Arabidopsis thaliana: one gene and its partner. The protein of the gene in region 1 interacts with the protein of each later gene in a biochemical or structural test. Each region holds a gene or a part of one and is shown on either strand. Other genes may lie near its edges.

The links.
Region 2: the proteins of AP3 (region 1) and SEU form a complex in vitro, tested with the Arabidopsis thaliana proteins (one study listed by BioGRID).

What each region holds. Positions count from the first base shown.
Region 1 is NC_003074.8:20,118,516-20,123,254, reverse strand, and holds AP3 (K-box region and MADS-box transcription factor family protein), read left to right. Parts: upstream 1-1,940; 5' UTR 1,941-2,167; coding exon 2,168-2,355; intron 2,356-2,456; coding exon 2,457-2,523; intron 2,524-2,606; coding exon 2,607-2,668; intron 2,669-2,752; coding exon 2,753-2,852; intron 2,853-3,024; coding exon 3,025-3,066; intron 3,067-3,342; coding exon 3,343-3,387; intron 3,388-3,632; coding exon 3,633-3,827; 3' UTR 3,828-4,115; downstream 4,116-4,739. Other genes in the region: emb1967 (Forkhead-associated (FHA) domain-containing protein), read left to right, coding at 209-357, 461-547, 670-798, 877-957; WRI1 (Integrase-type DNA-binding superfamily protein), read right to left, coding at 4,656-4,685. UniProt on the Arabidopsis thaliana protein: Probable transcription factor involved in the genetic control of flower development. Is required for normal development of petals and stamens in the wild-type flower.
Region 2 is NC_003070.9:16,614,789-16,622,573, reverse strand, and holds SEU (SEUSS transcriptional co-regulator), read right to left. Parts: upstream 5,587-7,785; 5' UTR 5,082-5,586; intron 4,963-5,081; 5' UTR 4,703-4,962; coding exon 3,737-4,702; intron 3,653-3,736; coding exon 3,533-3,652; intron 3,381-3,532; coding exon 3,332-3,380; intron 3,243-3,331; coding exon 3,028-3,242; intron 2,941-3,027; coding exon 2,872-2,940; intron 2,629-2,871; coding exon 2,531-2,628; intron 2,436-2,530; coding exon 2,342-2,435; intron 2,146-2,341; coding exon 2,076-2,145; intron 1,931-2,075; coding exon 978-1,930; 3' UTR 525-977; downstream 1-524. Other genes in the region: AT1G43860 (sequence-specific DNA binding transcription factor), read left to right, coding at 1-330. UniProt on the Arabidopsis thaliana protein: DNA-binding adapter subunit of the SEU-LUG transcriptional corepressor of the C class floral homeotic gene AGAMOUS during the early stages of floral meristem development.

The DNA of each region.
Region 1 (4,739 bases):
CCAGTGGAACTCATGTTTCTTTCTATCTATCTACATTTTTGGGAAAAGAAAGCTTTTAGTATGTGAATAGGAATGTATTTCGGCATTTGGCTCCTAAAAGTTATTACATGCTGCAGTGATGTGGGAAACCTTTTCTATGGGTAGCGTATGAGATGTTAGAAGAGGTTTAAGGCTTGTTTGTAAATCCCTAAAATGTTTTCACTTGCAGTCTCCAAGTATCAGAGCCAAGACATGAAAAGAACAATCATAAGACTTGAGCAGGCTGCTCATTCATATATGCAAAGAGCCATTGCTTCCCGTGGTGCATTCGCTGTTTTATATGGCAGATATTCAAAACACTATATCAAGAAGCCTGAGGTAATATTATCTTATTCGTTTAATATTCCTTGTATGATTTGATAAGCTTCTTAAGAATTATAGTAGCACTTGTTGATATCGGGGTTCTTTTTTCTTAACATAGGTTTTGGTGGGTAGATCAACAGAAGACCTCGCTGTGGACATTGATTTGGGAAGAGAAAAGCGGGGTAGCAAAATATCTCGACGACAGGTCGGTCAATAGTAGATACTTCTATTTGTATTTTAGGTCTTTAAGTTGTATGAGAAGCAGCAGCCCAGGATCTGTAATGGTTGTTGTGTATGTTTTTTTCCTTTTTGGGTTACTGAATGCAGGCGATCATACGGCTGGGTGATGACGGTTCGTTTCATATAAAAAACCTGGGGAAGTATTCAATCTCAGTAAATGAGAAGGAAGTAGATCCTGGACAGAGTTTAATCCTCAAATCCGATTGTCTAGTTGAGGTTTGATCCGGGATACTCTTTTATGATCATTACTTACGCTTCTAGGTCCGTACTTAAACCCGATATATGTGCGCGCAGATACGGGGAATGCCTTTTATATTTGAAACAAACCAAAGTTGCATGCAAGAGTACCTGAAGAGAAGAGGGAAAGTGAACTGAGACCAGATCAAGAGTGCGTGTTGTTTGTGTAGATGAATGATGCATCTCTTGTGTAATGTACCTTAGCCATAGGAACACGTCTTGTAGATCTTTTAATACATCTTTAGTTCCGCATCATGCATAGTTGACCCTGTTTTAAGGCGTTGAAATGAAAATACAAGTCTCTTGTATCTGAATTTGTGTTTTAAGCGAAGAATGATTGTTCTTGTGAAGTTGATACACAAGTTCTTTGGATATCCTATCAGTATAAAGGATAGGTTTCCATTTTCGTGACTCACTCACTGATTTCCATTGCTTGAAAATTGATGATGAACTAAGATCAATCCATGTTAGTTTCAAAACAACAGTAACTGTGGCCAACTTAGTTTTGAAACAACACTAACTGGTCGAAGCAAAAAGAAAAAAGAGTTTCATCATATATCTGATTTGATGGACTGTTTGGAGTTAGGACCAAACATTATCTACAAACAAAGACTTTTCTCCTAACTTGTGATTCCTTCTTAAACCCTAGGGGTAATATTCTATTTTCCAAGGATCTTTAGTTAAAGGCAAATCCGGGAAATTATTGTAATCATTTGGGGAAACATATAAAAGATTTGAGTTAGATGGAAGTGACGATTAATCCAAACATATATATCTCTTTCTTCTTATTTCCCAAATTAACAGACAAAAGTAGAATATTGGCTTTTAACACCAATATAAAAACTTGTTCACACCTAAACACTTTTGTTTACTTTAGGGTAAGTGTAAAAAGCCAACCAAATCCACCTGCACTGATTTGACGTTTACAAACGCCGTTAAGTTTGTCACCGTCTAAACAAAAACAAAGTAGAAGCTAACGGAGCTCCGTTAATAAATTGACGAAAAGCAAACCAAGTTTTTAGCTTTGGTCCCCCTCTTTTACCAAGTGACAATTGATTTAAGCAGTGTCTTGTAATTATACAACCATCGATGTCCGTTGATTTAAACAGTGTCTTGTAATTAAAAAAATCAGTTTACATAAATGGAAAATTTATCACTTAGTTTTCATCAACTTCTGAACTTACCTTTCATGGATTAGGCAATACTTTCCATTTTTAGTAACTCAAGTGGACCCTTTACTTCTTCAACTCCATCTCTCTCTTTCTATTTCACTTCTTTCTTCTCATTATATCTCTTGTCCTCTCCACCAAATCTCTTCAACAAAAAGATTAAACAAAGAGAGAAGAATATGGCGAGAGGGAAGATCCAGATCAAGAGGATAGAGAACCAGACAAACAGACAAGTGACGTATTCAAAGAGAAGAAATGGTTTATTCAAGAAAGCACATGAGCTCACGGTTTTGTGTGATGCTAGGGTTTCGATTATCATGTTCTCTAGCTCCAACAAGCTTCATGAGTATATCAGCCCTAACACCACGTACACCATCTCTCTAAACACCACTCTTAAATTAAGCTAATTGAGTTGCTTTGTTTTCTTATAATTAACCACTACTTTTTTGGTGATTTTGTTGGTTATAGAACGAAGGAGATCGTAGATCTGTACCAAACTATTTCTGATGTCGATGTTTGGGCCACTCAATATGAGGTTTTTTTCCTTCTTAGATCTTTCTTCTTCTTCTTGATATGTGTTTCGCTGGTTGGTTAAATTCTTGATGCGTTTTGCTGCAGCGAATGCAAGAAACCAAGAGGAAACTGTTGGAGACAAATAGAAATCTCCGGACTCAGATCAAGTATTTGTTTCTCTCTCTTCTCTTAGATGAGGAGTTTTACTAAAAAAAATGAGTACGAAAATATACATATTTTTAAAATTGTAGGCAGAGGCTAGGTGAGTGTTTGGACGAGCTTGACATTCAGGAGCTGCGTCGTCTTGAGGATGAAATGGAAAACACTTTCAAACTCGTTCGCGAGCGCAAGGTTCTCTTCATACTTTTCCCTTACCTAGGGTTTCAATTAATCCTATATACCCAAGCTTCAGTTTTGAATTGAATTATTAAAAAATGAATTTTATTGTTGTATATATGTTTTAGAAAAAGAAACATTTTGTTTACTGTTGGATAATATATGTTAATTGTATTGTACTGTACAGTTCAAATCTCTTGGGAATCAGATCGAGACCACCAAGAAAAAGGTCACATCTTCTATGTCCACTCACTTTTCCATTTTATCATATTTATTTGTCTCAACAATTTTGTGTCAATTGAATTTATCAACTTACTAAAACTGTTGATAACACTTTTCTTGGACAATTATATTTGTGTGTGTGTGTGTGTGTTTAAGCTAATGGATAAAGAAAATACCAAGTATACTATATAGTGATGTCATAATAACTTGGGTATATATCTTCATAATTTTTTTGGGAGGGAATATTTCTTCATCATTTCTCTTGTGGTTTACACAATTGCAGAACAAAAGTCAACAAGACATACAAAAGAATCTCATACATGAGCTGGTAATATCTCTTTCTGTTTTTCTCAAATGTTGGTTTAGGCATAATACATTCATGGAATACGGAGCCAGTTAAAAAGATATCTAGAAATGTAGTGTAGATTGATCAGTCACTCTTATGTTTTCTTGTGATTCTCTTATCGAAATATCTCCTAGTTAAATCATATATCAAATGTCATGTCATTTCGAATTAATAATATTGGTTTTAGTTATGTGGAATATGGCTTAAAACATGTTTTGGTGAATTAGGAACTAAGAGCTGAAGATCCTCACTATGGACTAGTAGACAATGGAGGAGATTACGACTCAGTTCTTGGATACCAAATCGAAGGGTCACGTGCTTACGCTCTTCGTTTCCACCAGAACCATCACCACTATTACCCCAACCATGGCCTTCATGCACCCTCTGCCTCTGACATCATTACCTTCCATCTTCTTGAATAATTAAAGGCTAAAAGGTTTGCTGGTGCCATCATTGTCTATCTAATTATTTAGTAACTACTTAAAACATAAGGCATGGTGTTGCTAAAACCTTAAACTGTCATGTTTCTTAGTTATGTATTTTAAAGCCTAAAGAAATATGGATTGTGTGATCAGTAGTGCTTAGGCTTATTGTGTGTGGAATGTTTTCAAGACTTTTATCATGTATCGTATTATTATATTGACCACTCTACTTAATTATGCTACAAATTTACTCGATTTGATTTTCTACTTGAATGCATATATATTGTCTGATGAAATACAAATTGAAGTTGTTTCCACAAAACGAATAGACTACCAATCATACTATTGATTTACAAAACTAAAAAGTAAAGACAAATTTTTATACAAGATGTATTCCGAGCCAAATGCAACAACTTTTCGGGTTGTTATGTGTAACCCGAAAACAAAGATATTCAAATATTCACCCTAATGAAGACGTTCACGGTTACCAATATTGATCACAAGTTTGGATGGTAAGGCTCTTTTACTAAACTATCTAGCAAACCAAAAATCATCGCAATCAGAATTATGAATTAAGAGTTAGGAATAAACTTTTGCCTATATAACCTTCCTAGAAACTTCATAGTCCGGTCAATAATAAGACAGGGGAACTTGAAGAGGTCTAGCCTTTGAAGCCTTCTCTTAGTTCAAGATTCCTTGAAGCTCTTCCTTATTGCACATATGCCAGAGAAATTCATAGACATCTTAGCCTCCTTTGTGTTTTACGGTTCATTTAGTTTTTATTTCTTATCTGAACTTGGAGCATTAGAAAAGGGGCAAAGACATTGATTATTCAGAACCAACGAACAAGCCCTGAAACTGAAATACAAACCCTAAGCAGAACCCAACAAAAGAAAAAAAAGAAGAAGAAGC
Region 2 (7,785 bases), on another chromosome or scaffold:
ACCCACAAGCCGTTGTTACCTGCTGAGACTGAGACTAAGGATTTGACCGATCCCGTCGTTGAACTTAGCAAGAAACTGCAGAAGCAAGAGATAAGTACTACAGATAACATAAAGCAAGAAGGTGGAGAAGAAAAGAAGGGGACCAAGTGCAGCACTTGCAACACGTTCGTTGGAGAGGCTAAGCAATACAGAGAGCACTGTAAGAGTGATTGGCACAAACACAACCTTAAGCGTAAGACTCGGAAACTCCCTCCTATTAGTGCTGACGAATGCATGTCTGAGATTGACATGGACGACTCTAGAGCAGATTTGAAAGACTACTCTTTCTGAAACTACAATTTTCTCCTTTTGTGCTTTTAATTTTGTCAATGTGTTAAATCTCGTAGTCATATGTGAGTATGAATACACAAAACTTGTGGAATGAAATTTTGCGCAAACTTTAAGAGTAAAAACTTGTGTTTAAGAGACAAGCTTGGATATTTGGTATTTGATTAATAACTGTGACCAAACAATAGACATCGTACGGCTTGTGGTATTTCATTGCACTAACAACAAAAAATCATGACCGATCAGCATCGTTCAAGAGCATTGCACATATTTAACGTTGTGGTCAGAATTTAGGGAAGTTTGGTTAACACATGGAAGAGACCAGAGAGATAAATGAAGGATAGAGCTTGATTCATTGCCTCCCTGATGATGTGCCCTAAGGAACACACACCGATAGAAAGATGTACATTATAAACTATAAAGCATAAGAAAAACTCCCCAAAGTAAAAAAAGAAACAGTAACTCAAGAGATGGTATTGGTGATTGTGGAGGTGACCTAGAAACCAGTTATTGATACAAAGATTTGACTCTTCCTTTCTTAAGCACAATATCACGGCTTATTGGCCTATCCTTATCCTGAGTTTGAAGATGTGTGATGCTGCGCAAGCAGAACATTACCCTTTCAGTGTCTCTTCTTCCTCTTCTTCATTTCACGCGTTCCAATCAAAATTGTTGAAACCATTCACTGCTCCTAAAAGTTGGTTTCCTAAATCCTGTTGACCGTTTGGATCCCGCACCATCATCCCAACTCTTCCGTTCATGAGACTATTGTTACCGTTTATATTATTGATTCCGTTTGCTGCCATGGATTGACCAATCCCACCACCAAACCCACCAGCACCTCCAATATTTGTGTTGTTGTTGTTGTTCACTTGGCCATTCATCAGTAAAACACCAGAACTATTTACATTAGCTTGACCCTTCCCATCATTCCCGAAAGACCCATGCCCAACCATGCTTCCTCCTGAGCTATTATTATGAGCTTGGTTGTTCATCAGGATTTCATTCAGTATCTTCTGCACCGAGCTAGACTCGTTTCCATCAACCTCACCTGCCTGTTGCATTGCTGGTGAGTTTGTGGAACCCATGTGATTAACAGATGGTATCCCGTTTTGAGAGGGATTATTGTTATTAGATGAGGATGTTGGAGACTGAAATGTTGGCAGGTTGTGTTGTTGCTGCGATGATGATGGCACCATGGTACCCGAGGAACTAGGTGATTGCATCTGAACAGAGTTTCCTCCATAGGGGCTGTTTGGAGGATTGTAAGCAGCATTCTGATGTCTTCCCTTCATTGAATTCTGGTGGATGAGCCCTGCGATGCTGCTGGTGGAAGTGGATGCAGAGGCTGCATTAAAGGCATAATTTACACCATTGCTTGGATTACCCTGCATTAGTGCAACTTGCCTACTACTTTGATCACTGTTTGTATTCTGGGAAACTGTTTGCTGCTGCTGCTGTTGTTGTTGTTGTTGTTGTTGCTGTTGCTGCTGCTGCTGTTGTTGTTGCTGCTGCTGCCTAAGCTGGTCGCTGGCTTGCTGAGGAGAAGGACCAGGCAGTGCAGATGAAGGGCCTGTTCTCCGAGGAAACTTGGCTAAACTCTCTGTACCAAAGAAAGAAAACATGACATCAGTCAAATCACCGGAGAATATGTACAATGAAGTTCTGATATAATACATGAACGAAAAGAGTAGGTGCTTCAAGATTAAAAATACCAAATGCATTAAAAGGTGGTCACATAAACTTACCGATTGGTCCTGTTCGTGTTTCTCTGCTATAATCTATCAGGTCCTTCATACTATTTACCACCTCTGAGATCTACAATATTGCAAAATATCAATGTGCATTGGCAAACATGGTCACAGGGACAGACTAAATACAAAGATTGATTAAGTTTATTTCATTTTTATGTATTATCCTTTTCAAAGCTGCATTTTCATTGATGGCAAGAATCTTAAGTTTTAAGCAAGATTGTAGAGTTCACTTGATCCATATTGAGACATTAGTTATTTACCTGCAAACACCGAACATATCTCTTTGTGTATCCCAAATCATTCACAAGTGGTACTTCCAGGGCCTTTGCCAATTGTCTAGCAGATGCAACAAACCTGCAGACCAGTTGCAGCACATCAGAGATCACCAATCAAAAGTCGAATAACAGGATTTGTTACATCAATTTCACAGCGAAAGAGAGGAAGTTTACATATTGCAATTATTTTGTAGCTCCGGAAGAGCAGAATCTGTTGTTGCATTTTGAGCAGCTTGTTGATATTTCTGAGCTGCCGATCCAAGCTGACTAACCTGTATGTGAATACAAAAATAGCTAATTTACCTAAGCTGTTTTCACTGATTTAGATGTGTAATATTCTACTCCTATTGAAATTTGGAAACCACAAAAGATGAAAGGTAAAGTGACGATTTCGCAAAGAAAAGCAGACTAGAATAATATTAAGACAGCATATCCAATTTTGTGACAAAAGGAAAGGCCGCATCTCCAAAATAACTATATGTCAGAGCAATATGGTGAATCTTTCTGGAAGTTACCTGCGGTATCAAAAGTCTTCGTGGAATAAGCTCTTCATGCCGCCGAGCACAAAATTCCCAGGAGAATATCTGAGAAGGAACTTACAAGAATAAAGGGCTTGGAGAGAAAGTAATAGTATAATAATTTGCTGCGAAAGATAGAGTAGCTTGAAGAACCTTAAGATCTGGCGAGAAGACTATTCGAAGTTGGCCATCACGAACAACCCGAAGATGCTCAAAGACACTCTCTTGTGTTGCTTTTGCATACTCCAGGACAATTTGGCCAGATGAATTCTGGGACTCCCTTGGCATATCTACATATAACAGTTCTTCTAACGTCCCACTCTCATACTTAATCTTAAACAGCCGCGGAAGGACTTCGGCGGTTGCCTCTAAACAATGAAAGAGACAAAGCAGTAAGGAAGGAATATTTGATAAGATGTACAGGAAATTGTCTGCACTGATCATCTAAATAACATACCAAAACCACGTCCAGGCTTTCGGTTACATATCTCACAGTGCCACACATCCTGCAATGTTTGTGGAATAAAAATACTCATGTAAAGAGGTATAACATGAAACAAGTACGTAATTTATCCAGAATAACTGGCTCAGGTGCAAAAGACAAGCTCCTTTACAATTGTATTACAAACAAGATAAGTTCATTGAGCAGTAAACCAACCTGAGGGAAAACGCCTGTTGTTTGCCTGCCACTGCCATACATAGAGACGCACCATCTCTTTTTGGCATTAGGAGCAAAGTACTCAGCTACAAATTTTCTCCAGAACTCGATATTATTGTCCTGCATTTAATAGCAAGCACAAATGTCAATTATGAAGAAAAGCCATAGGCTGAAAGAAGTTAAATTTATGGTAAGAAGCTTTACTTCAGGCCTATGTTGTTGTCTGTACATATACTGTGTAAGACGCTGAGCACCCATGCCAGGTTCATACACTGGTTTCAGAGGTGGCCTTAGAGGTAAATTCTGCTGTTGGAACTGCTGTGGTAATTGAGGACGCTGTTGAGGCATAGATTTCAAGAGTTGCTGTTGTTGAAGTTGCATAAGTCTCTGCTGCTGAAATATGTTCATTTGAGCCTGCGGAGATTGCCCCGGCATTTGAAGAAATTGTTGTTGTTGTTGTTGCTGTTGTTGCCTCTGCTGTTGTTGGAGAAACAATGACTGCTCAGAATGTTGAGGTTCCATTTTCACTTGGGCCAAATTTCTCATGGCCTGAATTTGCTGCGGTTCCAACTTAACTGACCCTAGGTTTCTCAACATTTTCTGTTGCTGCTGTTGTACTTGACCATGCTGCTGATCATTCGAAACCTGACCAGGCTCCATCTTAACAGGTCCCACACCTGCTAATCCACCACCACGCACTGTCGAAAACTGCTGCTGCATTGACTGCTGCTGACCATGTTGAAAACTCTGCGTCTCCATTTTCTTATTCCGTTGTTGCTCAGCCAACAACTGGTTAGCCGAAACATTCGAAAACTGCTGACCCTGAACTTGACCTGATGAGCGCGGAGACACCATACTCGACGCATTAAAAGACGACAAACCACTAAACCCGACGTTAGACATCGGGTCAGACTCAGCACCACTTGTATCCATAGAAATCATAGAACCAGGGATACCATTTACAAAAGACTGATTATTGAGAAGAGAAGATATATTTGGAGCATTCCCAAGCATACTCATACTCATATTGTTACCAAACTGAGTACGCGGAGAGACAAGTGAAGGAAATGCTGGTTGAGAAGGAAGAGGAGCTCCTCCTTGTCCTCCTAATATCGAAGGCGGAACATTTTCACCACCCCCAACAGGATTAGGCGGCTCTGATGGTACCATACTCTTACTAATTCACAACTCCACAATCAACAAAGAAAGCAAGAAACAAAACTGACGACTTTATAAAACTCAGCTCTGTGTAGGAGCAAAGACGTATTCTTTCTGAGCAATGATAAGCTTCAGAGTCGTAAACACCACGGAAAGAGATGAATCTGAGTGATGAGATTCCGTATCGAACATTCTAGAACCAAACAACACTGTCTGTTGATTACTTACAGATCTAAATTAAGCAAATCTACTCCATTTCCAACTCTCACCACCTTAACAAAACAAAAGCATAATGTTAAGAACAAACCCAGAAAGAAAAAAACGAAACTTTGATCAAACCCTAATTGAGAAAAAAAACAGAGATTACTAGTGAGAATCTATAGAAACTTACCCAGAGGTGGAATTGAAGAATAAGTCTCTGATAAGACTCAAAACAAAGAGAATCGAACAAAAAGGAAGAGACTTTACACAACTAAAAATCTGAAAACTTCCGATGAACAAAATCTTGAAGAAATTTGAAGTCTTTTAGGGTTTTTTATTGATGGGTTTGGGGATAAAGAGACGAGAAGACAAAGAGAAACAAAAAGAAGTAGAAACAAATTTTCTCTGCCGCCTAGAAATTGTAGTTTCTGGGTTTTATTAAAAATTATACCTTTTTAAGCTTCACAGAGTAATTTGTGTCCTGTTCTTCGCTGTAGAGAGAGAGAGAGAAGAGAGAAAGAAGAAGATGAGAAGAGAGAGAATAGTGTCCTTGCGGACGTCAAAATTGTATTCGATCGGATTTATTTCATTCCCTTTCTTACTTTTTCTTTTTCAGTCTCTCTCTCTCTTCTTCTTCTTCTTCAAAGGAAGTCAATGACATGCCCTAGAAATGTTTTTTTTTTGTAATCACAATCTGGATTTTTTTTTTTTGTTAGCCACAAACATTTTTCTCTTTATTTTATTGGTTTTAGTGTTAAATTGTTATTTTTCCATTCAGAATACTATCACTTTTAAATACCTTAAGAAAAGTTTGATTTAGAAAGATATCAAAAGTTTAATATACACATCAATAGTGTTTTTTCTTAGAATGTAAAGTTTGGTTTAAAAGAACATAATGGAAATGACACTATTTTTATTTGTTTTTAGTTCTAAATTTGATATAGAAATTTTTCTTTCTTTTTTTGGTTTTAGTTTTAAATTTGATATAGAAATATATCAATATTTAATATATTACTACATTAATAGTGGTTTTTCTGTTTAAAGTTTATTTAAATGTGTAAATTTGGTTTGAGAGAGAGAATGGAAAACAAGACTATTTTTAAGAAAAAATATAATTATGGAACGACAACATAAAATTAATTTGAAAGCGGATTTATGTATGAGATTAAACAACTCGAGTTTGATCTTCATCCCTTGCTTAGATGATTTTTTTTTCCCATTCCCCTTATATATTCTTTTTCGTCTCAACTTTCTATCTTTTTTCTTTTGTTCAAGTTTTCTTAATTATTTTTGTCTACGCTTTTTAGATAATAAAAACTGCTTCTTATTTTCTTTATTTTATTGTCTACATGGTTTCATTACATAGAAGCTGAACTATAATAATCATGATGGTATTTTAAAGTTATAAAGCAAAGAAAATAAATATTATATACAAATGAAACTCCACAAGGAATTCTCACGGTTTAGAGTATTTGCATATTCATTTGTTTAATAAACCGTTTTCTATTAATATTAGAAAATATATAAAAAAAATAATTCAGTTTTTTAGTCTGATGTGTTGCAGATCATTTTCTAACATAAATATATTTAAAAGAAAAAATCAGACATGAGAGCATATATATGAACCATTGCTGAATATAAATCTTAAATACCTCATTTTTTCTGAACCTAATAATGCATGTAACCAATTTTAAGTCAAAAGCATTTTTTTGTGTGTTAAAATGTTAAATTTATTAGTCAACAAAAAGAAAAAATATGTATAAAGAGTTGAGAGAGTGCTTCACCCGGTTTAACAACACCACAAACCAAATAGCTTTTATATTGATTTAAATTACAATCACTAATGGTTAAAAAAACAGACTCATATATAGCCAAAGATATTGGTATTGCAAGAACTTCTCCTGCCATTGGAAACATGGTTGAATATTTTGATCTATTTATTTTTACTACCTTAAAACATGGTTGAGTATATCTGACTCGTCTTTTTGATATGTTTCCAACTCATTTACAGAAAGAAGATTGTAGACTTAAACTGGTCTATCAAACACTATACTCAAATTATCTCTACAAAATATTTATCAGCAAATTATTATTTCTCACACTTTAGATTACCTTATCCACGTATAAGTTTAAAGCTAAACAATGCAAATATCATTATATGAAAATGATCAAATATTTTAGCCACTATCAATATTTTATTGGCTTTTTCTATATCTTCTCAATATCTATCAAATTTGGATGTCATTGCATAAATCATATCTCTCAAATCTTACGTTAAACCCTAAATACCATACTTGATTGTTGTATATCTCATTGTAGTAACTATTTGATGTTACTTTATAGAAGAAGAGAATGTTAACATATGATTTAAAGGTTTTTTACTATATGACGCGGTATGTTCTAATCAATTGTTATTGAAGGTGACTTGTTTGATTAGAATAACTTTTTAAAAAATCTGTCGTCTTACAATTTATATCCATATATCATGTCAAATGCAAATTAATAATTCCACTTATTATCACAATCTAATACAATAATTCCTCTTGTGATTTTCACCCAACACTTAGATATTTCCAATCTTAAACTAGAAAATCTCACATATTCTTACAGTATTACGAACACTTATGATACTATTACTTAAGGTGTTTTTTGATTGGTAACACGCATAATGACATAACGGTGTTTTCTAATGCGATTATGCAAGAAGTTTGTCAATCAAGAAAAAATCTGCATAATTACATTAACAAACGCAAAAACGCAGAATTTGCACCCTAAAATTACAAGTAAAAATTCATTATGAAAGAAAGTGGGTATATAGTTGCTTATGTGCATAATAAATTGTTATTCTTATAAGCATACTAAATATTATTAATTGTAAAAGAAAAAAAATATAA